3 linked regions of the Macaca fascicularis genome follow. The protein of the gene in region 1 interacts with the protein of each later gene in a pairwise test. Links are inferred from orthologs where the notes say so. Each region holds a gene or a part of one and is shown in the gene's direction. Other genes may lie near its edges.

What was found.
Region 2: the proteins of SMYD1 (region 1) and HOMEZ interact in binary tests that used the Homo sapiens proteins (3 or more experiments, as listed by UniProt). The link is inferred for Macaca fascicularis from reciprocal best matches to the Homo sapiens genes SMYD1 and HOMEZ.
Region 3: the proteins of SMYD1 (region 1) and ZBTB44 interact in binary tests that used the Homo sapiens proteins (3 or more experiments, as listed by UniProt). The link is inferred for Macaca fascicularis from reciprocal best matches to the Homo sapiens genes SMYD1 and ZBTB44.

Annotation. Positions count from the first base shown.
Region 1 is NC_088387.1:22,909,533-22,917,643, reverse strand, and holds part of SMYD1 (histone-lysine N-methyltransferase SMYD1), read left to right. Parts: intron 1-1,610; coding exon 1,611-1,649; intron 1,650-4,683; coding exon 4,684-4,873; intron 4,874-8,111. UniProt on the Homo sapiens protein: Methylates histone H3 at 'Lys-4' (H3K4me), seems able to perform both mono-, di-, and trimethylation. Acts as a transcriptional repressor. Essential for cardiomyocyte differentiation and cardiac morphogenesis.
Region 2 is NC_088381.1:91,041,872-91,049,741, reverse strand, and holds the end of HOMEZ (homeobox and leucine zipper protein Homez), read left to right. Parts: intron 1-1,967; coding exon 1,968-3,577; 3' UTR 3,578-5,096; downstream 5,097-7,870. Other genes in the region: E3 ubiquitin-protein ligase RNF212B, read right to left, coding at 6,253-6,333. UniProt on the Homo sapiens protein: May function as a transcriptional regulator.
Region 3 is NC_088388.1:128,682,238-128,690,348, reverse strand, and holds part of ZBTB44 (zinc finger and BTB domain-containing protein 44), read left to right. Parts: intron 1-1,616; coding exon 1,617-1,780; intron 1,781-3,478; coding exon 3,479-3,779; intron 3,780-6,559; coding exon 6,560-6,838; coding exon of another isoform or gene 6,839-6,842; exon of another isoform or gene 6,843-6,850; intron 6,851-7,455; coding exon 7,456-7,486; coding exon of another isoform or gene 7,487-7,529; 3' UTR 7,530-7,530; exon of another isoform or gene 7,531-8,111. UniProt on the Homo sapiens protein: May be involved in transcriptional regulation.

The DNA of each region.
Region 1 (8,111 bases):
GTGAGACCTTGTCTCTAAAACCAAACCAAACCAAACTAAACCAAACCAAACAAAATAACAACAAAAAGAAACTAACAAGGAATGGTGAGGTGCCCAGGGACTAGCAACACATGAAACCATCACCACCTCTAGGCCTGGAAGGGCAGGTGAAGGAAGCACTGTTTCTGCAGCTAGTGAGAGCTGGACATGGGCTAGAGGGCCCCCCAACAGCTCAGCTGTGGCTTACAACTGTGTCTAGAGAAACCAGCCAGCTGGCACCATGGCTCGGAAAAGAGGAAGTCAATGGACTAGATAGTCCAACCCCTCATTCCCCTAACCCTCTGCTCTCCTACCATTGGCCAAACCCCAACCTGAAGATGAGGGGTAAATAAGGGCACATTATGGATTTGGGGGTGCGGCACAAATGGAGAAGAATCAGTAGATGGAACGAGCCCCTGGTTGTCCATGGCTCGGGATGGGGAGATATAGGGGAATGAGGCTTGAGCAATATTAATTGCTTTTGCTCTTAGAGATGAGCTCTTATGACAGATACAAGCTGACTTTGAGTCATCAACAATGAGCAAGTTTCCCCCAAAAACTTCCTAGAAGCCAGACAATGGTGTCTGGTTCTCAGCTGAGAATCGGGCCTAAGCTTCAATATGCCAAGTACCCTGATTTCTCCTTTCCTTCCTATTTCTGAAACCAGGCTCTTAAGCAATTGAGAAAGTCACTTAAGATGGGAAAGTTTATTTTGGACTCAGATGATAATCTTTTCTCAGCATTTGTGTTTCCTTTCTGAAGCCTTTTGGGGTCACTAGCCTGGATCTCATGGAATCCTCCCTAGAGGGGCTGTTGACTGAGCTTGACCTGGATGGCAGAGAGGATCAAATTCAGCCATGTATGGGCCTGGGCTTTCTAGACGGCCCTCTTCTAAGTGGTAGTGACCCAAGGCTCCTCTTGTCATTGGGTATAACAACCACAGGAACCTAGGAACTCTTTCTTCTGTGTCTGCTCTGGCTTCCTTGCATCTACTAATTTCTAGCAGCCACATTTTATCCAGGCTTCTTGGCTTTTGTGCAAGAGAAGGTGACTTTGCATTTCCTGTCTAGCCACCTGCCATAGTGGAAAGAACCCTAGACATGGGGTTAGGGGCCCAGTTTGAACCCCAACAATTTTTATATACTATCGATTTGACCTAAACAGCCTCCATGTGCACTTCAAACTCTTTCCAAGACCGACATCCAAAGAGGCAATGTTTATTCATCCAGGATGCTTAATAGAATGATAATAACAGCATTGCGCATGTTTTTTCAGCACTCTGCTTTTAAGTGCATTGTCTCATGACAGTCTCATTATAGGTGAGAACACTGAAACACAGGGAAGGGAAGGAACTTGTTCAGGTCAGGGTTGAGTACCTTTGAATCCAGAATGTCTTGTTCCAAATTCAGTGCACTTTCCACTCTAGCAGGCTGTGTCTTGTCCAGTGAGTCCAGCTAGAAGGGGCTAGGATAAAGGTTGTGATGGCCAAAGCTTTGATAGTGTGACTCAGAATGCTGTGCACCCTTGCACTGGATGACTCCTGACCAGCCAATGATAATGATTTCCATATGGGTGTCTGTTTTGTCTTTCAGTCATGAGGCAGTGAAATCCATGTTTCATACCCAGATGAGGTGGGTCAGTCCTTTCAAGCATCCCTGCTCCTCTGACCCGTCTCCCTCACTTGCCTGGTTTGCTGGAGCCACCCATTCCCAAGACTCCTTGACTGCCATCTGTCCATAATGTCCTTCTGCATCCCAGTGTCTCGTCTTTGCTGAATGGTGTATTTTAATGCATTTAAATTAACCATTTTTTCCTTACCCACATACCACCTGCCTTGTCTTTGCTTTACTTTGCCTCCTTTCTTCCTCCCTTTCATGCCTCACTTCCACTGCTCTTCCAACCTTGAAGCATGAACCCTTGTAGTCCACATCGTCTTAGCAAAAGCCTATCTTGTCTCCCTAAACCCTGCTTACCATGAAATGGGGACTGTGACTGACCTACTAAAGGACTGTCTGTTTATAAGCCCCAACTTCTTACCCAGACTGGGCTCCAAAAAATAGCATCTATAACCGATATTTTTAATAAATGTTTATTCCCAGTATTCTGCTTACTGCTTCTGACCAACTACGAATGAGTAGTTTAGGTTAAATTTTACTTCTGACTTTTCTTGATGACAACCAAATGGCCCTAGATGGGTCTTTTCCTCAGGGTGGGGTTGACAGCCCTTGAAGTGGTCTTTGGATTAAGAACAAAATGCTGTGTGGGAGTTTGGGCTTTGGGAATGCTGGGGTAGAAGTGGTTGGTGCATTTGAGTCTGTGTTGCTGTGCACTGCACGTGACTTTGGATGATTCACATCATCTCTTGGGCTTGGGTTCCACATCTGTAGAGAAAGGTCAAGAGGAGAGTGCTCTAGGGACCTTCCTAGTTCTAAGTCTCTGTAGCTCTGGACTCTGTCCCTAACCTCTGTGAGAAATACATAAATAGGCTGCTTACTTGTGGCTCAATTAGCTGAACTATAGAATTGCAGATTGTTGGAGGTAGAAGGGGCCTGGGGTACAAGGTGGGGATGAAGCTTGTCCAAGGAAGCTGGTTGGAGGGAGAGCCAGGGCTAAAACCCTCATCTCCTGCCTCCTGCAGTGCTTATTTCAGGCTGGTCTCCATTCCTCTCCCCCAATCTCCAGTTTCAAGTAAGGTAAAATGAGGCATACATATATGCATCTTTTCATATTTAAGTCACATTAAGTTAATTTGGTTTTGAAAAATTTCTAATACCATTGGAATAATCGGAGATACCCTGAGACCATGCAAGAATTGGCACAATCATGATAGGAAGCAAAATTACTGGAAATTCTAGCCCAATTGGCCACTGATTCACTGTGGAATTAGAATATGTCACTATGGTGGGCTGCCTCTGTAAAAGGGACTCGTGGGGGCAGAACTGGTTACTTACCCAATAGGGTTAAATACTGGAGATCCTGGCTCAGGAGATGCTCACATGGAATTACTTAGGACATTAGTAGAGTCCTAAAAATCAAAGACTTTGATGCATCTTAATTCCCATGCATCGAAGACCCAGGAAGCAGCCTGAAAACAACCAGGCAAGGCTACTATGTTGAGGGTGAATGGTATGAAGTTCTAATCCTGGCTCTGTCCCCAAAGTGCTGTGGGACCTATCCCTCTTGTGTCACTATCCTCATTTGTGAAATGAGCATCCCTGCAGCTCAGACAAACTAGGATTCTAAGCAGAACTGTGAGCAGAATCACCCGGCCTTCCTCTCCTACTGGCCTTTCATCACTACAGTAACCGCTGCTGCCGAAAATTGGGGTAAGGAACAAAGGAAAGGAGTGACAAATGGTGAGCAGGCACTTCAGTTTTGCAGACTCCACAGGAGTTGTTTTTATACACATTAACACATTAATAGGTGTGTCAGTGTATCTCACTTTGGGAGAAGGATTTGTATCCATCAGTGGTCACCTCAGACGCCTGGACATGAACGTCACTACCATTCAGCAGTTGCTTCCTTGATTGTCATCTCAGAGCACAGGGAAGGGGCTGCCTTTGACTGGGACTCTTCTTGGGTGCTGGAGTCTTGCCCTTGCTTTTGCATGGTGTCTAACTGAGCCTTCCTGGGAGGTAAAAGAAATGACCATGGATCTCTGTGCAGGCACTCTCCCCAGCCCTCTGCATCCTGCCACTTGCTCTCTGGATGATGGCTTCCCACTAGGCAGGGAGGCCCCAGGATTCTGGGGAGGTACAGGAGCACGGTTTAGGACCCAGCTTGCAGGGCCCACCACTTGTTTTCTGTAGCTGTCTGGCCTTGTGGTGGAGGATGCATGGCTGAGAGATCCACAGGCTGACCTCTACCTGTTTGGCTCAGCTGGATGTCAGTTCTGCAGCAGGTTTTTACCTTCAACATCTTCAGTACCTATCTCATTAAGTAAGGTGGGTTGTGCTATAGGTAATTGAGGGTCAGGTCTAGGCTGGAAGGGAACTGAAATGCCATCTGCCCTTGCTAACGACCTTCAACCAACAAGCCACATCCCCCAATAAACACAAAAGTGAACAATGCAGTGAGCTAACAGAGCCAGCCTTTGTTTATTTGACTTCAATGATCTCCAGTGGGCTAAGTCTCGTTAGGTAATTTGGCCTGAACCATTGGACTGAAGGTCAAGAGGTGACTTCAAGTTAGACACCGAATGAGCCAAGGTTGTGGGTAACTGAATTTTTATGTTTCTGAGAGAGTAGTCCCCAAACTAACCAGAAAAGATTTTCAAGTTTTTTCTTGTTTGGAGTTTCTGCCTTATTATTTCTCCTTCTTTTATTACAGACAATCAGTAGCTAAAAGTAAAGGGAGACTTATGGGCATGGACATTCTGTCTGGTTTTATGACCAAGCCCAGCTCTCTACTAGGAGTCTATTTGAGCTGATTCCAGAGCAGTTAACTGAATGGAGTGGATCGGACTGTTCTAAGGAATAGAGTAGAACTATCCACAAAATCATCCTTTAGGTCACATTTCTCCTTTTGTGGAGTCAATGGGGGTTTCTGACTGCCAGTGAAAGTCATTGTCTTTGAGACCCAACTCCACAAAGCCTTGGAGGAGAGCATGGATCCCATTCCAGTAGGCCTGGATTCGAGTCACCTTTTCCTTTCGCCCTGCTCCAGAATTGAGCTCCGGGCCCTGGGCAAGATCTCAGAAGGAGAGGAGCTGACTGTGTCCTACATCGACTTCCTCAACGTCAGTGAAGAACGCAAGAGGCAGTTGAAGAAGCAGTACTACTTTGACTGCACATGTGAACACTGCCAGAAAAAACTGAAGGACGACCTCTTCCTGGGGGTGAAAGACAATCCCAAGGTACATGCAACCCTGCTGCTGAGGTATTTGTGTCCATATTCGCCAGGAGCCAGTCACAGTTGGTTTCACAGCTAATCAGTGTGCCTTGCCCATGAGCTTCCTAGGGAGCAGCTGTGACCCTGGGGAGGAGGCAGGGTATGAGAGCAGAGCACCGTGGGTAGGTCCCAGCTAAGTCCTGGCACTGCCACTTGCCAGGTGTTTGAGTTTGGGGAAGTCACCCAGTTTTCTCAACTGTAAAATAGGAATGATGGTCCCATTGCAAGAGGTTGTTATAAAGATTAAAGAAGATGATGTGTATAAAAGGAGTGGCATACGGAGTAGACACTGGAAATTTTGGTTCCTCCTGTTGCTCCTTTATGAGTTGAGGGATGTTGAGAATTTAAGGTGCTGAGATCAGATGGGCAAAGATATTTGTCATCTGGTTATGAAAAAGATATTCCTAGTCCCATGGGGATGGGCAGTGTGGAGACAGGGCTATGTTTAGATTGGTCAACATCCTGAACTCCTGGGTAACTGTTGCTAGTTGATGGTCAGTCTGTTGAGCAGCAGAAGAAGGCTTGCTGACGGGAGGTCAAGAGCCCAGCTGAGCTGGGAGAGAGCGCTGAGGCGCCAGGTGTCAGAGTAGCCAGTTAAAGCAACAGAGCAGAAATGAGTGTGAAGTATTTAATCACTTACTGCAATAGTGTTAAGCAAGAAGCCAAAACCGAAGAAAGCACTGACTCTTCTTGTCCATTTCCTCCAGGGAAGCTGTGCTCAGGGGGAGGATGAGGGGGATCAGCACAGTCATGGAGGCATCTCACATGGCATTCTCTTTTATAAGGACACCAGTCATATGGGGTTAGGAGCCCACTCTATTCCAGTATGATCTCACCTTAACTAATTACATCTGCAATGACCCTATTGCCAAGTAAGATCTCATTCTGAGGTAGCTTCTGGGGCTAGACTTCAACATATGAATTTTGGGAGGATACAATTTTACCCCTAACACTGTGTATGCTACCATTTATGAACATTAAAAGGCACACACACACATGCACACCCATGCCCATGCAAGCATACTCGGTCTCCATACAGAAGTAGGAGGACCAGTGATGCCTGGGGTGAAGATATTGAGAGTCACCCTTCGCAGGCAGAGACAAAGCAGTTGGGGCCCAAGGATTAATGTTTTCTATAGGAACAACCTCTTTTCAGAGAAGCAAAGGTCTGTATTCTAGGAGATTTATATTGGATGTATGTGAGAGGCACTGAGCACTACATCATGGGCGCTACAGAGAAGAATTTGTTATTGCACCCACCCTCACCCCGACCTTTCAGAACCTGCGGAAAGCATGTCTTATCTGTGAGCCAGCCAGCCTTCCTTCCTGGAGACAGGCACTGAGTATTTGTTTCATAACTTGCTTCCACACTACGTAATTATTATTATTATTATTATTATTATTATTATGAGGCCAGACCCTCTTTTCTCTGTTCTAAAATAAAACAACCATGTGGTCATTTCTTTAGACTTTTTGATGTTTACCTGGCAGTTTCAATCGTTCAGAAGGCTATGTGTGACCTTTAGTTCCCATCCCTTCACTTTAGATATGCTGTTACCAGCTGGTGACAATACACACACGTCTTCAGTATGAATTGCAGAGTTGGCATTTCTCTTGATATAACAGATTGATGATTTCAGCTTGAACCTACCTGAATTCAAGGCAAAAACTTTCTATTGTATTTTATATCAAATTGAGTTTCTCTATTAAAACAACTCAAAATAAAAATACCTATACTAACTGAGCAGGAAAAAATTGAGTATATCTTTTTAAAAGCAAATGCTTCCTCAGGCATTAAAAAAAGTCCATAATAATGTAGTAGGAAGAATACTGGAAGAAGAATTATGAGGCCTGTGTACTAGTACTGGCTATGACTCTAAACACCTGGGCTTGGCCAAGTCTCTTCCTTCTGGGCCTCAGTTTCCTCATCTGTAAAATGGGGAGTTGGACTAACTTATTAACCATTTCCTCAAGCTGGACTGTCTATGATGTCATCACAGTCATTTCCTTTCTTTTCTCTATAACGCTGTATCCCAGACTGATAAGCCTCCATCAGTACACCATCCTCAAACCTTCAAATGCCATCAAAATCTTTCCTAGCTCCTCAATATATGTTTATGTAAACCTACGTAGAAATAAAAACCAAATATTTTTAAAATGGGAAAATAATAGCAAAATTTATGACATTTTTACTCAGTTGTGTCTCTGGACTATCTTTGTTTAGGCTGCTTAGGTTTTCTTTTGTAATCATTCTTTTTTAAAATTTATTTTATTTTTATTTATTTTTGAGATGAGGTTTCACTCTGTCACCCAGGCTGGAGTGCAGTAGTGTGATCTCAGCTCACCGCAGCCTCGATTTTCTGGGCTCCAGAGATTCTCCTGCCTTAGGCTCCTGAGTAGCTGGGACCATGGGTGCGTGCCACCACTGCAGACTAATTTTTGTATTATTTGTAGAGACGGGGTTTCACCATGTTGCCCAGGCTGGTCTCAAATTCTTGGCCTCAAGTGATCCACCCGTCGCAGCCTCTTGAAGTGCCGGGATTACAGGCATGAGCCACAGTGCCTGGCGGGTTTTTCCGCTGTCTCTCTCCAGCCTTTACTCATGATTTTCAAATACGAATGTGCCAGGCCGGGCACGGTGGCTCACGCCTGCAATCCCAGAATTTTGGGAGGCCGAGGCAGGCAGATCACAAGGTCAGGAGTCTGATACCAGCCTGGACAATATGGTGAAACCCCATCTCTACTAAAAATACAAAAATTAGCCGAGCATGGTGGCCCACGCCTGTAATCCCAGCTACTCGGGAGGCTGAGGCAGAAGAATGGCTTGAACCCGGAAGGCGGAGGTTGCAGTAAGCTGCGATCGCACCACTGCATTCCAGCCTGGGTGACAGAGAAAGACTCCGTCTCAAATAAATAAATAAATATATAAATAAATAAATAAAATGAAAAAAATCAAATAGAAATGTGCCAATTTCTCCAGGCTTGGGAACCAACATCCTTCTTACCCCTTCTCCCTCCTTGGCTCCTTTTCCTCTGGCTCCTCCCCTTTCCTCTGGCTCCTCCCCGTTCATCTGGCTCCTCCCCTTTCCTATGGCTCCTCCCTTCTCCTCTGGCTCCTCCCCCAGCCCCTCAGATCGCCCAACCCTTGCTCCTTCTCCTCCGCCTCTGGGTCCTCCCTCCCTCTTCCTCCTTGTTTTCTGTAG
Region 2 (7,870 bases), on another chromosome or scaffold:
CACACCTGTAGTCCCAGCTACTCGGGAAGTTGAGGCACAAGAATCACTTGAACCCAGGAGGCAGAGGCTGCAGTGAGCTGAGATCATGTCACTGCACTCCAGTCTAGGCAACAGAGCGAGACCCTCCCTGCTCAAAAAAACAAAACAAAATAAAACAAAAAAAAAACAGTTCTCAGGGCCAGGTGCAGTGGCTCACTCCAGTAATCTCAGCACTTTGGGAGGCTGAGGTGGGAGGATCACTTGAGGCTAGGAGTTTGAGACCAGCCTAGGCAACATAGTGAGACCCTGTCTACAAAAAATTTTAAGATTAGCCAGATATGGCTGCATATACCTGTAGTCCTAGCTACTTGGGAGGCTGAGGTGGGAGGATTGCTTGAGCCTAAGAGTTCAAAGCTGCAATGAGCCATGATCACGCCACCACACTCCAGCCTATGCAACAGAGTGAGACCCTGTCTCTTGAAAAAACAAAAACAAAAATGTACACACACACACAAACAAGTTGAAATTATTGCTCCTCTTGTTTTTGTGGTTGAGTCTTCACTGTGTGATTCTTGTTCCATGAATTTAGAAGGTGAGAGTTGGTGGATAGCTTCTAGAAGTGGGTTTGAATAGGAAAGATGAAGGCTGTATCAGAGCTATGATGGTGCCACTGCACTCCAGCCTGGGTGGCCTGGGTGACAGAGCAATATTATCTCTTAAAAAAAAAACAAAACCCCACCAGCTGGCTGTGGTGACTCATACCTGTAATCCTAGCACTTTGGGAGGCCAGAGGCAGGTGGATCACGAGGTCAGGAGTTCAAGACCAGCCTGGCCAAGATGGTGAAACCCCATCTCTACTAAAAATACAAAAAGTAGCCAGGCGTGGTGGTGGGCACCTGTAATCCCAGCTACTCGGAAGGCTGAGGCAGAGAATTGCTTGAACCCGGGAGTGGAGGTTGCAGTGAGCCAAGATCGTGCCACTGCACTCCAGCCTGGCAACAGAGCGAGACTCAGTCTCAAACACACACACACACACACACACACACAAACACACTAAAAAAAAACTGTATCAGGATCAGTTTTCCTTCTTAACCTCTAAAGACAGATTTTTTTTTTTTTTTTTTTTTTTTTTTTTGAGACGGAGTCTTACCCTGTGACCCAGGCTGGAGTGCAATGGCACTGATCTCGGCTTACTGCAACCTCCGCCTCCTGGATTCAGATGATTCTCCTGCCTCAGCCTCCTGAGTAGCTGGGATTACAGGCACTCACCGCCATGCCCAGCTAATTTTTGTATTTTTAGTAGAGACGGGGTTTCACCATGTTGGGCAGGATGGTCTCGATCTCCTGACCTTGTGATCCTCCCGCCTTGGCCTCCCAAAGTGCTGGGATTACAGGCATAAGCCACCGTACCCGGCCTTTTTTTGTTTGTTTTAGATAGGGTCTCACTCTATCACCCAGGCTGGAGTGCAGTGGTGCAAGCATAGCTCACTGCAGCCTCGACCTCCCAGGCTCAAGCAGTCCTCCTGCCTCAGCCTCCCAAGTTGTTGGGACTACAGGCACGAACCACCATGCCCAGCTGATTTTTAAATTTTTTGTAGTCTCACCATGTTGCCCAAGCTGGTATCAAACCCCTGGGCTCAAGCAATCCCTCTCACCTAGGCCTCCTGAAGTGCTGGGATTACAGGTATGAGCCACCATGACTGGCTTTAAAGACAGATTTTTTTCTTGGAACAACACTCACCAGTCATGTGACTTGGGGTAATTTAACATCTATGGACTTTAGTCCACAGAAAATCAGAATTAAAGCAGGGTCTGATGACTTGTTTATGAAAATTAAATAAGAAACTGTTGAAGCACTTAAAAAGCAATACAACATGATGCAAATAGAAACTTAATTGTTTTGGTGTCCAGCAGTTAGTTTGGTAGAAATTGAGCAATGTGTCAGAAGAGGAGACCCAGTGATTGAGCTGTTTCTTTTCTTATTACAGCTATCTCTGAAGGGCACAAATCAGAAAGCACCATGCCTCCTAATAAAGAGGCCAGCGGTCTCAGTAGTTCACCAGCGGGGCTCATCTGCCTCCCTCCAATCTCTGAGGAGCTACAGCTTGTGTGGACCCAAGCAGCCCAGACCAGTGAGCTAGACAGCAATGAACACCTGCTAAAAACCTTCAGCTACTTTCCCTATCCCAGCCTAGCAGACATTGCCCTTCTCTGCCTACGTTATGGGTTGCAGATGGAGAAAGTCAAGACTTGGTTTATGGCCCAGCGCCTCCGCTGTGGTATTAGCTGGTCATCTGAAGAAATAGAAGAAACTCGAGCCCGAGTAGTCTACCGTCGGGACCAACTCCATTTCAAATCCCTTCTCTCTTTTACTCATCATGCAGGACGGCCCCCAGAGGAGGTGCCTCCTCCTCCAATGCCAGCTCCAGAACAAGTTGGTATTGGAATAGGTCCTCCGTCTCTTAGCAAGCCCACCCAGACGAAAGGATTGAAGGTAGAGCCTGAGGAGTCCTCTCAGATGCCACCACTGCCACAGAGTCACCAGAAATTAAAGGAGTCCCTGATGACACCTGGCAGTGGAGCATTCCCCCACCAATCAGATTTTTGGCAACATCGTCAAAGCAGTGGCTTCTCAAAGGAGCAGGCAGGCAGGGGTCCCAACCAATCACATGGCATAGGAACTGCTTCCTGGAACCACTCCACAACTGTCCCCCCACCACAAGCTCGGGATAAACCCCCACCAATTGCATTAATTGCCAGTAGTTGTAAGGAGGAGTCAGCATCTAGTGTTACTCCCTCTTCTTCCTCTACCTCCTCTTCTTCTTTCCAGGTACTGGCTAATGGAGCTACTGCCACCTCTAAACCCCTCCAGCCATTAGGCTGTATCCCACAGTCAGTGTCACCCAGTGAACAGGCATTACCCCCACATCTGGAACCAGCCTGGCCCCAAGGGCTACGGCATAATTCAGTACCAGGTAGGGTTGGCCCCACAGAGTACCTTTCCCCAGATATGCAACGCCAGCGAAAGACCAAGCGCAAAACCAAAGAGCAGCTGGCTATCCTCAAATCCTTTTTTCTACAGTGCCAATGGGCACGGCGTGAGGATTACCAAAAGTTAGAACAGATCACTGGTTTACCTCGGCCTGAGATCATTCAGTGGTTTGGTGACACACGTTATGCCTTGAAGCATGGGCAACTAAAATGGTTTCGGGACAACGCAGTACCTGGTGCCCCTAGTTTCCAAGACCTAGCAATTCCTACACCACCACCATCAACCCGCTCCTTGAATGAAAGGGCTGAGACATCACCTCTGCCGATCCCTCCACCCCCACCGGATATACAACCCTTGGAGAGGTACTGGGCAGCCCACCAACAGCTACGGGAAACTGATATCCCTCAATTGAGTCAGGCATCAAGGCTTAGCACCCAGCAGGTACTGGATTGGTTTGACTCTCGATTACCTCAGCCAGCTGAGGTGGTAGTTTGTCTAGATGAAGAAGAGGAAGAGGAGGAGGAAGAACTGCTAGAAGGTGATGAGGAAGAAGAGGAGGAGGAGGAAGATGATGATGATGATGATGATGTGATCATACAAGACTGAGTGGGGAGCTGGGGGAGGGGAGGTCTGTTATGAAAAGATGAAACAACTTAGTAACTGTTTAAACAAAGAAACCACATTTTTAAAATTACCTTGTGGCAGAGAACTAAAAAGCTTTGTGTTCTTCAGGGTGGGTGGCAGGGGAATATAGTGAGGGTGGACCAGGGAGAATGACCATAGGGCACTAAGTAAGGCTGGGATTGGATGAGCAGAAATCCAGAGCTCTAACCTTAGTGTAGAGAGTGCTAAGGATCTGGGGAAACCATGGGCTGGCAAACTGCTCTTGCTCACCTCGTGTCTGCTGTTCTTTTCCCTTAGTGTACTATAGAGAGGCCAGACATTGGCTCCACCACTCCAGGAGGATTGGAAAGGAGGAGTAAAGGATTCTGATTTGATTGATGATTCCAGTGCATCCCCAATCCCACCATCTTACCTGGAATATAAGGCTGCCTTGCACCCCGTTTCTGAGCACAAGTCTGTGCATGATGCAACTGACTCTTACTTTTTTTCTTAATAACTGATCATTTCCTAGACAACCAAGATTCTCAGTAAGTCCCAATCTCATCACAAATATTAATATTTCCTTTTCCTCATACCAACTTGACTGTTTCACCTGTTTCATGACTAAATCACAGGTGGCAGAATATTTTTGGGTTTTTTTTTTTTTTTTTTTTTTTTTTGAGATGGAGTCTTGCTCTGTCACCCAGGCTGGAGTGCAGTGACGCAATCTCAGCTTACTGCAAGCTCTGCCTCCCGGGTTCATGCCATTCTCCTGCCTCAGCCTCCCAAGTAGCTGGCGGCCACCACCATGCCCGGCTAATTTTTTTACATTTTTAGTAGAGATGGGGTTTCACCGTGTTAGCCAGGATGGTCTTGATCTCCTGACCTCGTGATCTGCCCGCCTCAGTCTCCCAAAGTGCTGGGATTACAGGCGTGAGCCACTGTACCCCGCTATTTTCAGTTCTTATGCTGGGACCACTTTGCTTTGTAGTTTTTTCTGTCTTTCCAAAATCCTCACTCTGTTCACTGTTTGTCTCAGGGTAAATCTTCCCCCACCGAGCTTGTGAAAAACTTTAATAATTGGGTAGAGAATAATTTAGAATGGATATTTATTGGAGGTGGTAATTAGGGAAGATGTCGTTTTAAAAAGTAGAACTGTGTTACAAAGGGGTGAAAGAGGGAATAGTTTCCCCTTGTTGAAGGACAGTGGAGGTAGGTTCCAGGTTTGGTTTTACAAACCTGATAACTACCTCCTGTCCAACTTGACAGAGACTAAATTTTCATCTTTTTGCTGTCAATTTGTTTCTGAAAAAGAGACTTTTTCCCTCTCTTTATAGGATCTGTCTTAGGGACAGAGGGACCATCGTCTTTAAGTGAATTAATTATTGATGTTTTAGAATGGTTTTCATCAGTTGGGATCAGCTATATGGCAAATAGGTATCATCAATGAGTTAACCATCTAAAAATAAAAGAGTGGAAGCCCTAGAATGCTAGAACAATAATAAAAAGGCCAAAAATAAAATTGTTTCTCTCTCATCCACTTTGCCACTCCTATGGTTTAGGGATTAATGGAACCAAATCCATTAACATTCTAACTCAGCATACTTTTAATTTATTGTTTTGAAGGGCAGGACTTATTGAGGTAAATTAAAAGAAGAATAAAAACTTTAAAAGGAAGTAGTTCAGCATCTGTCACCAGCCAGGTTGTTTCTCAGCCATCAAATGATAATGACTGAAATTTCTGAGGCTTCAGGAGTAACAGAGATACAACAATCTTGGAGGTAACTCCATTTGCTACAGGACAGGCTCTTGCCTAAAAGAGAAGGTGTCTAGAAATGCCTTTAAAATAAATTCAGAGTACCAGAAAGGGTATAGGGCTCCTAATTCAGATACAAGGTCATTCCCAAGAGCTAATTTATTTCTGGCAGATGCCTGCTATTTTCTGTTTTCCCAGTATTTTTGCTTAAGGCCAACTTGTGAGTGGCTAACCTATTTAATTCCTCATTTCTGCCTTTTAGTACCCAAAGTAGAATACATGTTTGATCTCAGTGGTAGTGTTGTTTGCCCATTCCACCATTCTAGAACTTGTAATAGTGATAGAATTGTAGCAATAAAAGGGTGTCGTCTTAATTTTACTATCTATATACTAAACTGAAAATCAGTGTCTCCAACAGTTGTTTTCAATAGAAAGGAAAATTAGCATTTAATAGTAACTAAGCATAGAGGAAACAATAGGCAAATAGAAAATGTATAATAAGGACAAAGAACAGAGATGTTACTTGTTAACATTGGCAATGTGACAGTATATCCATAGCTAAAAATGAAATCCAGAAATGAAACAGTGATGAGTATATGATCCATCACAATCCCCATTCCCAACTCCCAACCAAGCATGATGCCAATAATTATTTTTATGACCTTTGTTTCAAATTGTAGGAAATGAGGGGAGCTACCAAGGTCTTCTGGAAGAGCTATAAACATCTTCCTGAAGCACTAGCCTTTTGTAAGACCTGACCACTGTCCTGGGAGGTGATAAGGGTGAATAGGGTAAAGATGGAGGGAGCATAAGGTATAGAGTGAAACTAGGAAACAATGTAGGGATAAATTTTCCAGGGCCATCACCCCTAATGGGTACTGGAGGCTACAGTCCATCCTTCAGCAGTATGTATAGATCAGACCTTGAAGATGATCTATCTGGAAGTGGTCCATGCTTCTCTCCCACTGGGTAATCCCATCTGCCTCTGTTGTTGGTAGAGAGTCTGCAGCAGAGGACAAAAAGGTAGATGTGGGTGTTTATAACAACAAAAAGGGCAAGAAAGTCTCTCTGAACTCATTGTATGAAGCTTATCGAGACAGACACCACTGCTTTTGCTTCCCCATAGTTTTCTTCATTGCATGATAACTAGTTTTTCCAAACTAGGATTTACTACATCTAATGTGACAGTCTCTGGAACATTTCAGTGGCTATGGTGATAATAATAAGGATGAATATTTGAAAATTATTTTGGAAAATCTGGGACATATGACTACCACACCCAGAGATGACTACCAGGGAGGCAGAGTACTTAGGCCTCTGAGGAGGTGGCATTTCCTTCAATAACTTTAAAATTTTTTCACATTTTCAAACAATACATAGAATAGTATAATGAACTCATGTGCCCATTGTCCATCTTTAACAAATAATTCGTGGCCAATCTTTTATTTCTACTCTCCCACTGTCCCTCCCTACTAAATTAGGGATGCAAACCCCAGACATCATTTGACTTTTCATCCATAAATAGTATGTATCTATAAAAGTGAATGGCTATTTTTAAAAACATAACTACAATATCATCATACCAAAAACTCTCCAATATTAACAATTATTTAATATCAAATGTCCAATAGATAATTTTGTTAAACTGTCTCATGAATTGTTTTTTTTATTTTTTATTTTTTTTTCTACAGCTTGTTTCAGTCAAGATCCAGTTAGGGGCCAAATATTTGTAGATGGTTTATTGAGCTTTTAAGTATTTTTTCCTCTGTAGGTTAATCCCTCCATTTGTGAGTATCTTAGGGAGGACTGTTATTTCCCCAGTGTTGCCTCTTAAGGCTTAGACCCTAATTTCTTTTTTTTTTTTTTTTTTTGAGACGGAGTCTTGCTCTGTAGCCCGGGCTGGAGTGCAGTGGCCGGATCTCAGCTCACTGCAAGCTCCGCCTCCCGGGTTTGCGCCATTCTCCTGCCTCAGCCTCCTGAGTAGCTGGGACTACAGGCGCCCGCCACCTCGCCCGGCTAGTTTTTTGTATTTTTAGTAGAGACGGGGTTTCACCGTGTTAGCCAGGATGGTCTCGATCTCCTGACCTCGTGATCCGCCCGTCTCGGCCTCCCAAAGTGCTGGGATTACAGGCTTGAGCCACCGCGCCCGGCCTAGACCCTAATTTCTTACTGATGAAAATAAAAGGGCATCTTGGAATATGGGAGCAAAATATATACCTACCTTAGTATGAAGGAACTGTCCCTGGGGACACCAGGAGCTTGGAGTGAAAAAAGGGCCTAAATATGCTCAAAATCCAAGCCATTAAAAAAAAAAAAAAAAAAAGGCAAGACTGGACTTTTATTTTTTTATTTTTATTTATTTATTTATTTTTGAGATGGAGTCTCGCTCTGTTTACCCAGGCACTGGAGTGCAGTGGCATGATCTCAGCTCACTGCAACCTCCGCCCCCCAGGTTCAAGCAGTTCTCCTGTCTCAGCCTCTCTTGTAGCTGAGATTACAGGTGCCTGCCACCGCACCCAGCTAATTTTTGTATTTTCAGT
Region 3 (8,111 bases), on another chromosome or scaffold:
TCCCTCTTACACTACATTCTAGCCTCATAGACCTTTCACAGTTCCTGGAGTACTCCATATTTGTTCTTGCCTTTGGGCCATTCTGTCACTTTAGGACCTTTGCCTGAAAAGCTTGCTCTCTCAGTTTTCGCAGTGTTGGCTCCAGATTCTTGACCTTCAGATCACTGTCTTGGTATCAGTTCTCAAGGAGGCTTTTCCTGACCACCAGTCTCAAGCAGCACCCAATCACTATTAGATCCTTCTAATTTAATTCTCTGCTCTGATAATTTCCTTGATTATTTATTATCTGTGTCTCACCCACTGAATGTAGACTCCACTGAATGATTGCATTCTTCCTCAGAGAAGGTCCAGGACAATCTTAAAAACTGTATTTGTTGAAAACTTGAAAGATTCAAGGGACTCAAATTAGGTTTATTTTTCTCGAATAGCTAAACCTGGTAGGGGAGGTTATCAACCGGAATCATTTGTGGATTAATGAAAGCATAAACAAACAGCAGTGTGCCTAGACTCCTTAATTTCAAGTATTAATCAGGTTGTTTGTTCTGTGTTAGATACTGTTCTGCATGGTAGTAATATAGAGATAAGATATGCAGCCCCTTGCCTCAAGGAGCTCAGTCAGTTTTGGAGGAAGTATAAGGATTGAAGATAGACAAACAGATTACCATAAGTGATCTGCAGAGCTCTGTTGCCCTGCATAGGAGGATGCCTACCGCAACCACTGAAAAATCAAAGACGGCTTCCCTGAGGAGCATGTGGCTTCCTAGCTACATTTCGTAAAATGAGTAGGCATTTGGTATAGGATGTGTTTGGGGAGTATGACAACAAATGAGGCTAGAAAGGTACAGAGAGCTCAGATCATGAGGAATCGTGTATGCCTTGCAAAGGGGTTTGATTTTATTCTGAAGATAACAGCCATTGCAGAATTTTAGACAGGGGACTGATTTGATCAGATCGCTATGATACAGTGAGAGGGATGGATTAGAGGAGTGTGGAGCTAAATGGAGAGAGTTATTAACTCAGGCTTGTATTAATGAAGGCCTAAATTTAAGAAGTGGTTAGAAGGAAAGAATTGGCGAGATTAAGGACATCAAAGGTAAAATAGTTGATGATATGTTCTGTGGTTGTATGTCATTCTGGGCTGGGTGCGGTGGCTCATGCCCGTGATCCCAGCACTTTGGGAGGCCAAGGCAGGCAGATCACCTGAGGTCAGGAGTTCGAGACCAGCCTGGTCAATATGGTGAGACCCCATCTCTACTAAAATACAAAAATTAGTCGGGCGTGGTGGCAGGTGCCTGTCATCCCAGCTACTTGGGAAACTGAGGCTGGAGAATCACTTGAACCTGGGAGGCGGAGGTTTCAGTGAGCCGAGATCACGCCACTGTACTCCAATCCAGCCTGGGTGGCAGAGCGAGACTCCATCTCAAAAAAAAGACAAAAGGCATTCTGGACAGTAACATTGTTTTTCATATTGTTAGTGAAACTTGAAATCTAACAGTTAAACTGTTTGAAAAAGTCTTTAAGTGTTTTATCTTTTTTCATTTAAAATTGACCTGTAGCAGTGTTTATTCAGTTTAAAAATCAGAGCCTGGTTGCCTTCTTTGGTCTGTTTTTTTTAGATTGGAAAATGTTCAGTATCCCTACCAACTCTACATTGCTCCTTCTACCAGCAGTACAGAACGACCAAGTCCAAATGGTCCCGACAGACCTTTTCAGTGTCCAACCTGCGGGGTGCGTTTCACCCGTATTCAGAACCTAAAGCAGCACATGCTCATCCACTCAGGTAATGTCACCTTCCCTGTTGTTGCATAAGTGAACACTCTAAAAATAAACATTTTATTTTGGAATCCCAGTTAAAATAGAAAACAGGGGTTTCTGAGTTTAAAAAAAAACTCTGAGAAGTCAAATGAAAACAGATTAGCTAAGGTTTATTGCCAAAATGGTGCAGTGTCAGAAAGCTGTTTGCCATCAGTGTTAAGTATTCTGATTAAAAGAACATAAGGTGATATGGATTTAGTACTTTGTAAATAAAAGACATATTAGGTGTGCACATAGAGGTGAGATAGATAAGCACAACCACAGATGGTAAAGCAAATAGGGTTAAAAGGGTCTGTATGGGTGTTCTTTGTGCTGTTCTTCTTATAACATCTCTGTAAGTTTGAAATTATTCCCAAATAAAAGTGTGTTTAAAAATGTAATATTTTCTTGCAATTTACTTTCAGTTTTACAGTCCTAAATCTCTGTGTGCCCTGATGAGTCAGCTTTGTAGTTTGTACTTTTTTAAAACATAAGAGATATTTTGGATAAATGTATAGAAGGGATTTGAAACTTTAGTTCAGTAATCACATGAAGGCAACAGGATTCTTGTGGGTAAAACACTGACCTCTGATGAGTAAGAGATCTCTGCTGCTGTTTCAGCTGCGAGAGTTACTAGCTCACTTTCCCCTTCTGTAGATAGGTCTTACAGTCCCTGTCCTAGCACCAGCTCTCTGTGACTTTGTTCAGTCAGCAGATTGTGTTTTGAAAGGTTTTAAAATTTTTTCCCCAAAACACTGTGATAATGCATTTGAGGAGACTATTAGTACACTTTATAACTCATTTATTTCTATCAGTATTACCCAAAAACCCCATTTTATCAAATGATGGTTCTGTCATGCTCATTGCATTCAGAGATGTTAAAATTGTTCTTTCTTCTTCTCATTTCTCTGTGAGATAGGGAACAGAGAGTAGGTACTGATGATTTTCACATCTTTTCAATATAAGCCTTTCTAATGAAATGAAATAATACATGGTGTTACATGGGGATTTGGGTTCTATCTACATACTGTAGTTAAATTGTGTTTTGAAGTTAGTAAAATAGATGATTTAGAAAAGTATTCAAAAATCAACTTCAGTAGACATTACCTAGTTTGCCTCCCCTACTGCCTTTTTCTTTTCCTTTTTAAGCACTTGTGACTTTTCACATATTCTTTTTTTTTTTTTTTTTTTTTTTTTTTTTTTTTTTTTTTTTTTTTTTTTTAGACGGAGTCTGGCTCTGTCGCCCAGGCTGGAGTGCAGTGGCTGGATCTCAGCTCACTGCAAGCTCCGCCTCCCGGGTTCACGCCATTCTCCTGCCTCAGCCTCCCGAGTAGCTGGGACTACAGGCACCCGCCACCTCGCCCAGCTAGTTTTTTGTATTTTTTTTTAGTAGAGACGAGATTTCACCGTGTTAGCCAGGATGGTCTGGATCTCCTGACCTCATGATCCGCCCGTCTCGGCCTCTCAAAGTGCCGGGATTACAGGCTTGAGCCACGGCGCCCGGCCATGACTTTTCACATATTCTGCACATGTTCTGAGATACTGAATTAGAGTATGTTTTTACTGGTAATTTTTGTCTTTTCAGATGATCTATTGCTACAGAAATATAGTTCAGAAATTTGTAGGGTTTATGACTTTTCAGTTTATTTTTGTTTTTAGATATTTTGTTTTGCTTTATTTATAGGAATTAAACCATTTCAGTGTGACCGCTGTGGGAAAAAGTTCACCAGGGCTTACTCGCTAAAGATGCATCGCCTAAAGCATGAAGGTAAACGCTGTTTCCGGTGCCAGATATGTAGTGCCACTTTCACTTCCTTCGGGGAATATAAACACCACATGAGGGTTTCCCGGCACATTATCCGCAAGCCTCGGATTTACGAGTGCAAAACATGTGGCGCCATGTTCACCAACTCTGGAAATTTAATCGTGCACCTGAGGAGTCTGAACCATGAAGCATCAGAGCTAGCAAACTACTTCCAGAGCAGGTGAGGTGCACAACAAAAACCCAACCAGGAAAACTGCTTTCTAAACTCTCTTTTCCTGCTTTTAGGGCAGCCTTCTGTGTTTTTACATTAGGTTGCCAGCTAGTCAGTCCCTGATCTGATAAAATTTTGCTGAGTCTTCTAAGCATATAAAATTATAAACATTTTATAGTTGGTATTAAAAATATCTTCCTGCACAAGTGGACTACTTGTCCTCTTGAGATATTTTTTAAATAATAGAAGGTTTAAGTAATTCCGTATGGACCTTAAATAGATCTTATCGGAAATTTTTTTTTTTTTTTGAGGTGGGGTTTCGCCCTGTCTCCCAGGCTGGAGTGCAGTGGCGCGATCTCAGCTCACTGCAAGCTCCGCCTCCCAGGTTCATGCCATTCTGCTGCCTCAGCCTCCCAAGTAGCTGGGACTACAGGCGCCCGCCACCATGCCTGGCTAATTTTTTGTATTTTTAGTGGAGACGGGGTTTCACCGTGTTAGCCGGGATAGTCTCGATCTCCTGACCTTGTGATTCGCCTGCCTTGACCTCCCAGAGTGCTGGGATTACAGGCGTGAGCCACTGCGCCTGGCCTTATTGGAAATTTTACCATGTCAGATGATACTTAGTGGTAGTGGATTACTTCAGACTCTGGATGTTAATAAAATTCTTGACCACTTCTCTCTATTTAAAAAAATTTTATATAAAGGAATATCCATTGGCCAGTAAGAAAAATTTTCAGTAGCAGCTATAATGGGTGTGATGGTTTAGATCATGAAGTCATTCCTATTTTCATTCAGTTTAGAGCTCTATTATTTTAATATTAATATATAATAGAATTACCTTTCTGATTTGTAGGGCATCCAAGGAAATAGGTTCTAGTTCTAGCTCTGCCACTAACTGCTGTTGATTAAACGTGTCACTTTACAGATGAAAAAGCTTGTAACTTAGAGAAAGATAAAATGTAAGCTTTAAATGATGGTTTCTAAGGCCTCCTCTAGATATAAAACTGTTGTTTTAAATTGTTTATAAGAATTGTACTTCTGCAGGAATCCTTAGTTTCTAATTAAATGAAATTTTTACAAATTTTTTTTTTTTTTTTTTTTTTTTTTTGGAGACAGAGTCTTACTCTGTCACCCAGGCTGGAATGCAGTGGCACAATTTTGACTTACTGCAACCTCAGCCTCCTGAGTAGGTGGGATTACAGGTGCCCACCATTACACTCAGCTAATATTTGTAGTTTTAGTAGAGATGGGGTTTCATCATGTTGGCCAGTCTGATCTTGAACCCCTGACCTGAAGTGATCTGCCTGCCTTGGCCTCCCAAAGTGCTGTGGGATTACAGGCGTGAGCCACCATGCCCAGCCCAAATCTTTACATTTTAAGTCACCTTTATTTTTAAAACCTTTTTATTTTTTAATTGAATAGATGGGGTCTTGCAGTGTTGCCCAGGCTGAAGTGCAGTGGCTATTCATAGACACAATCATAGCGCACTACAGTCTCAAACCCCTGGGGTCAAGCAATTTTCCTGCTGGGACTACAAGTGTGGGCCACCATGCCTGACTTAAAACCTTATTTTTAAACAAATTCCAAATTATTCCTGCATAGATTTTATTTTTCCCCTCAACCAGACATTCATTTTGTTTAATGCAGTCATCTCTAATTCCGAATGTGTGGTTGCCATATCACTAAACCTTAGATTATACATATCATATTAAACACAGTTTGTTCAGGACTAAAATAGTGTTCCTGTTAACTACTCATGTTATCTTTATCTTCCCTGTGCAGAGCCCTGCATTCTCCACTCTTCTTCTCTAACACCTGAAGACTTTTTAGAAAACACAACATAGGGCATTCTAAATTGCTTTGCAGATGAGCAGATTTTAATTTTTTATTAATACTGAACAGTAAAATTATAACTTTATCAAGTCTAATTACATATATTATTGACAATTCTGGTATAATGAAATTTTTAGTTCAGTAATAAAGATCTAAATAAAGCCTCTAAGATAAGACTTATTTCACATACTTAGTTTCAATTACCAAAAAATGCTTATAAGTTGAAAATTTAGGAAATACAGAAAAGTATAAAGAAATTTAAAATGTTTTCTGATCTCAACACTTAAGGAAATTAGCCACTGTTTTAGTATATTTTACAGTCCGTGTTTCCTGTGGGGACCAATAATTACTTTTTGAAGATTAACAACCAATCTCAAGGCATTCATTTCCACATTCTGATTCAAAGATAATTTATTAGTATTTTCATATACCAAATGTAATAGCAGGATACACATAAATTACTTTGTACATTTCCCAACTTTATAGTAGATTTTGTATCAGATCATTTATGCATAAGGACTTAGTTTCTTAACTAAGCCATGTCAAGTTTAGTAACACAAAGCTAGGTTTATATATCTCTTACTCAATGTATAATCAAGAAAAGTTAAGCATTACTCAGATGATCTTTGTTTAAGTGAGCATGCTACATTTGTTTTGTATATAGAAACTCCTCTGCATAGAACAAGAAAGGCTGTTAAGGTGTCCAAAGTTATAATGAAAGTGATAACCTGATGTATTGGTGGTAGGGAAGATTGATACATTTTGGTTTTAATGGATGTTTTGGTTCATGTTTAGCAAAGTTTGTAAGTGGAAAGTTCCTGAGTTTTAATCTTCACCGAACAATTAGTGAAATGAAAAGTCCCAATTTTGTTGTATAAATCAGAGCTTTTTATTGTTGCTTATCTATTACTGGCTTGAAAATTAATTCCATATTTCGTCCTTTGCCTCTTATCTAGTGATTTCCTAGTACCGGACTACTTAAACCAGGAACAAGAAGAGACCCTTGTTCAATATGATCTTGGAGAACACGGTTTTGAAAGCAACTCCTCTGTTCAAATGCCTGTAATTTCACAGGTCTCCTCAACCCAGAATTGTGAAAGCACTTTTCCCTTGGGGTCTCTTGGTGGGCTGGCAGAAAAAGAGGAAGAAGTGCCAGAGCAGCCAAAGACCAGTGCTTGTGCTGAGGCAACCAGAGATGACCCCCCAAAATCAGAGCTGTCTTCTATAACTATTGAGTAATTTTGTGATTTGGCTTCAGTTTTGTTTTTTGGAAAGTGCCTGTGCTTGGTCTTGTACATTTAAATTTAATTTAATTTTTTAAACAAAAAAAGCCGGGTGGGAGGGAGGGAGAGATTGGGAAAGCATTTCCCTTTTCACTTGCTGAGCCCTGAAACTGATTTTATTTTTCATAACTGAGAGATTGCTTCTGTAAGTACACAATAACATGATGTTGAAACAGAAACTATGAGACTTAAGGAGATCTGGTTGACTTAAAACTTATACCAGTTTCTTCTTCCATTGTTAAAAGTAGGCTAACAACAGACCATTAGCTAGAGAGGAAATCTGATGATTATTGACCTTCCTGAGTTGAGAGGGTACATGAGAAACTAATTACTAAACAGCTTGTCAAATGGCCTGAGTAGATACTTAACGGCTGTACACAGGACATTGTATAATATTTTGTAAAGCCCGTTGTTTTTGGAAGTATTTATGGTAAGCTTTCTTAAAAATTATTAGGGTAAATACTTCTGAAATCCGGCACACTTTTTTTATTTTAAGCTTTGTCATTTCTGTTGTGATTTTTCATGGTGAAAGTTTGGTACTGAGATGGGCATTCTCTGTACCTTTATAGTACCACTCCAAAGGCAAAGAACCATGATTGACAACAGTCAAGCTGTGGATGAAATGACCAGGAACGGAGAATGAAGTATGTAAATCTCAGCTTCGTAGGAATTCTTCTTATATTGCTTTTCTGATTAAAATTGCTGTTTACCTGGTCTCTGAATGTTAATGCCTGACCATGTCATTGCCCGAATCAGTTTTCCCCTTGCCCGGTCAGTATGGTCTCTTGCATATATTGGCGTGCTGCCATATAAAGTAAAAATATTGGAGATATTCTATATTTTATGTATAGGTTTATGTATTGTTGGGGATGTTTTCATTGTGCTCTTTTGGACATAATGAAGAATTCTCGGTTGAGGCTACATCTTTTTTTTTTTATTTTTTTTTATTTAAGAGGATGGCATCTGTTGCCCAGGCCGCAGTATAGTGGCTAAGTCATAGCTCACTGCAGCTTCGAACTCCTGGGCTCAGGCCATTCTGTCTCAGCTTCTTGAGTATCTAGGATCATAGGCATGCTCCACCACACCTGGCTGACTTCGTTTTTATTTTTTGTGGAGATGAGGTTTCACTATGGTGCCCAGGCTGGTCTTGAACTCCTCGGCCAAGTGATTCTCCTCCTCTGGCCTCCCAAACTGCCGGGATCACTGCACCAGCCAAGGCTACATT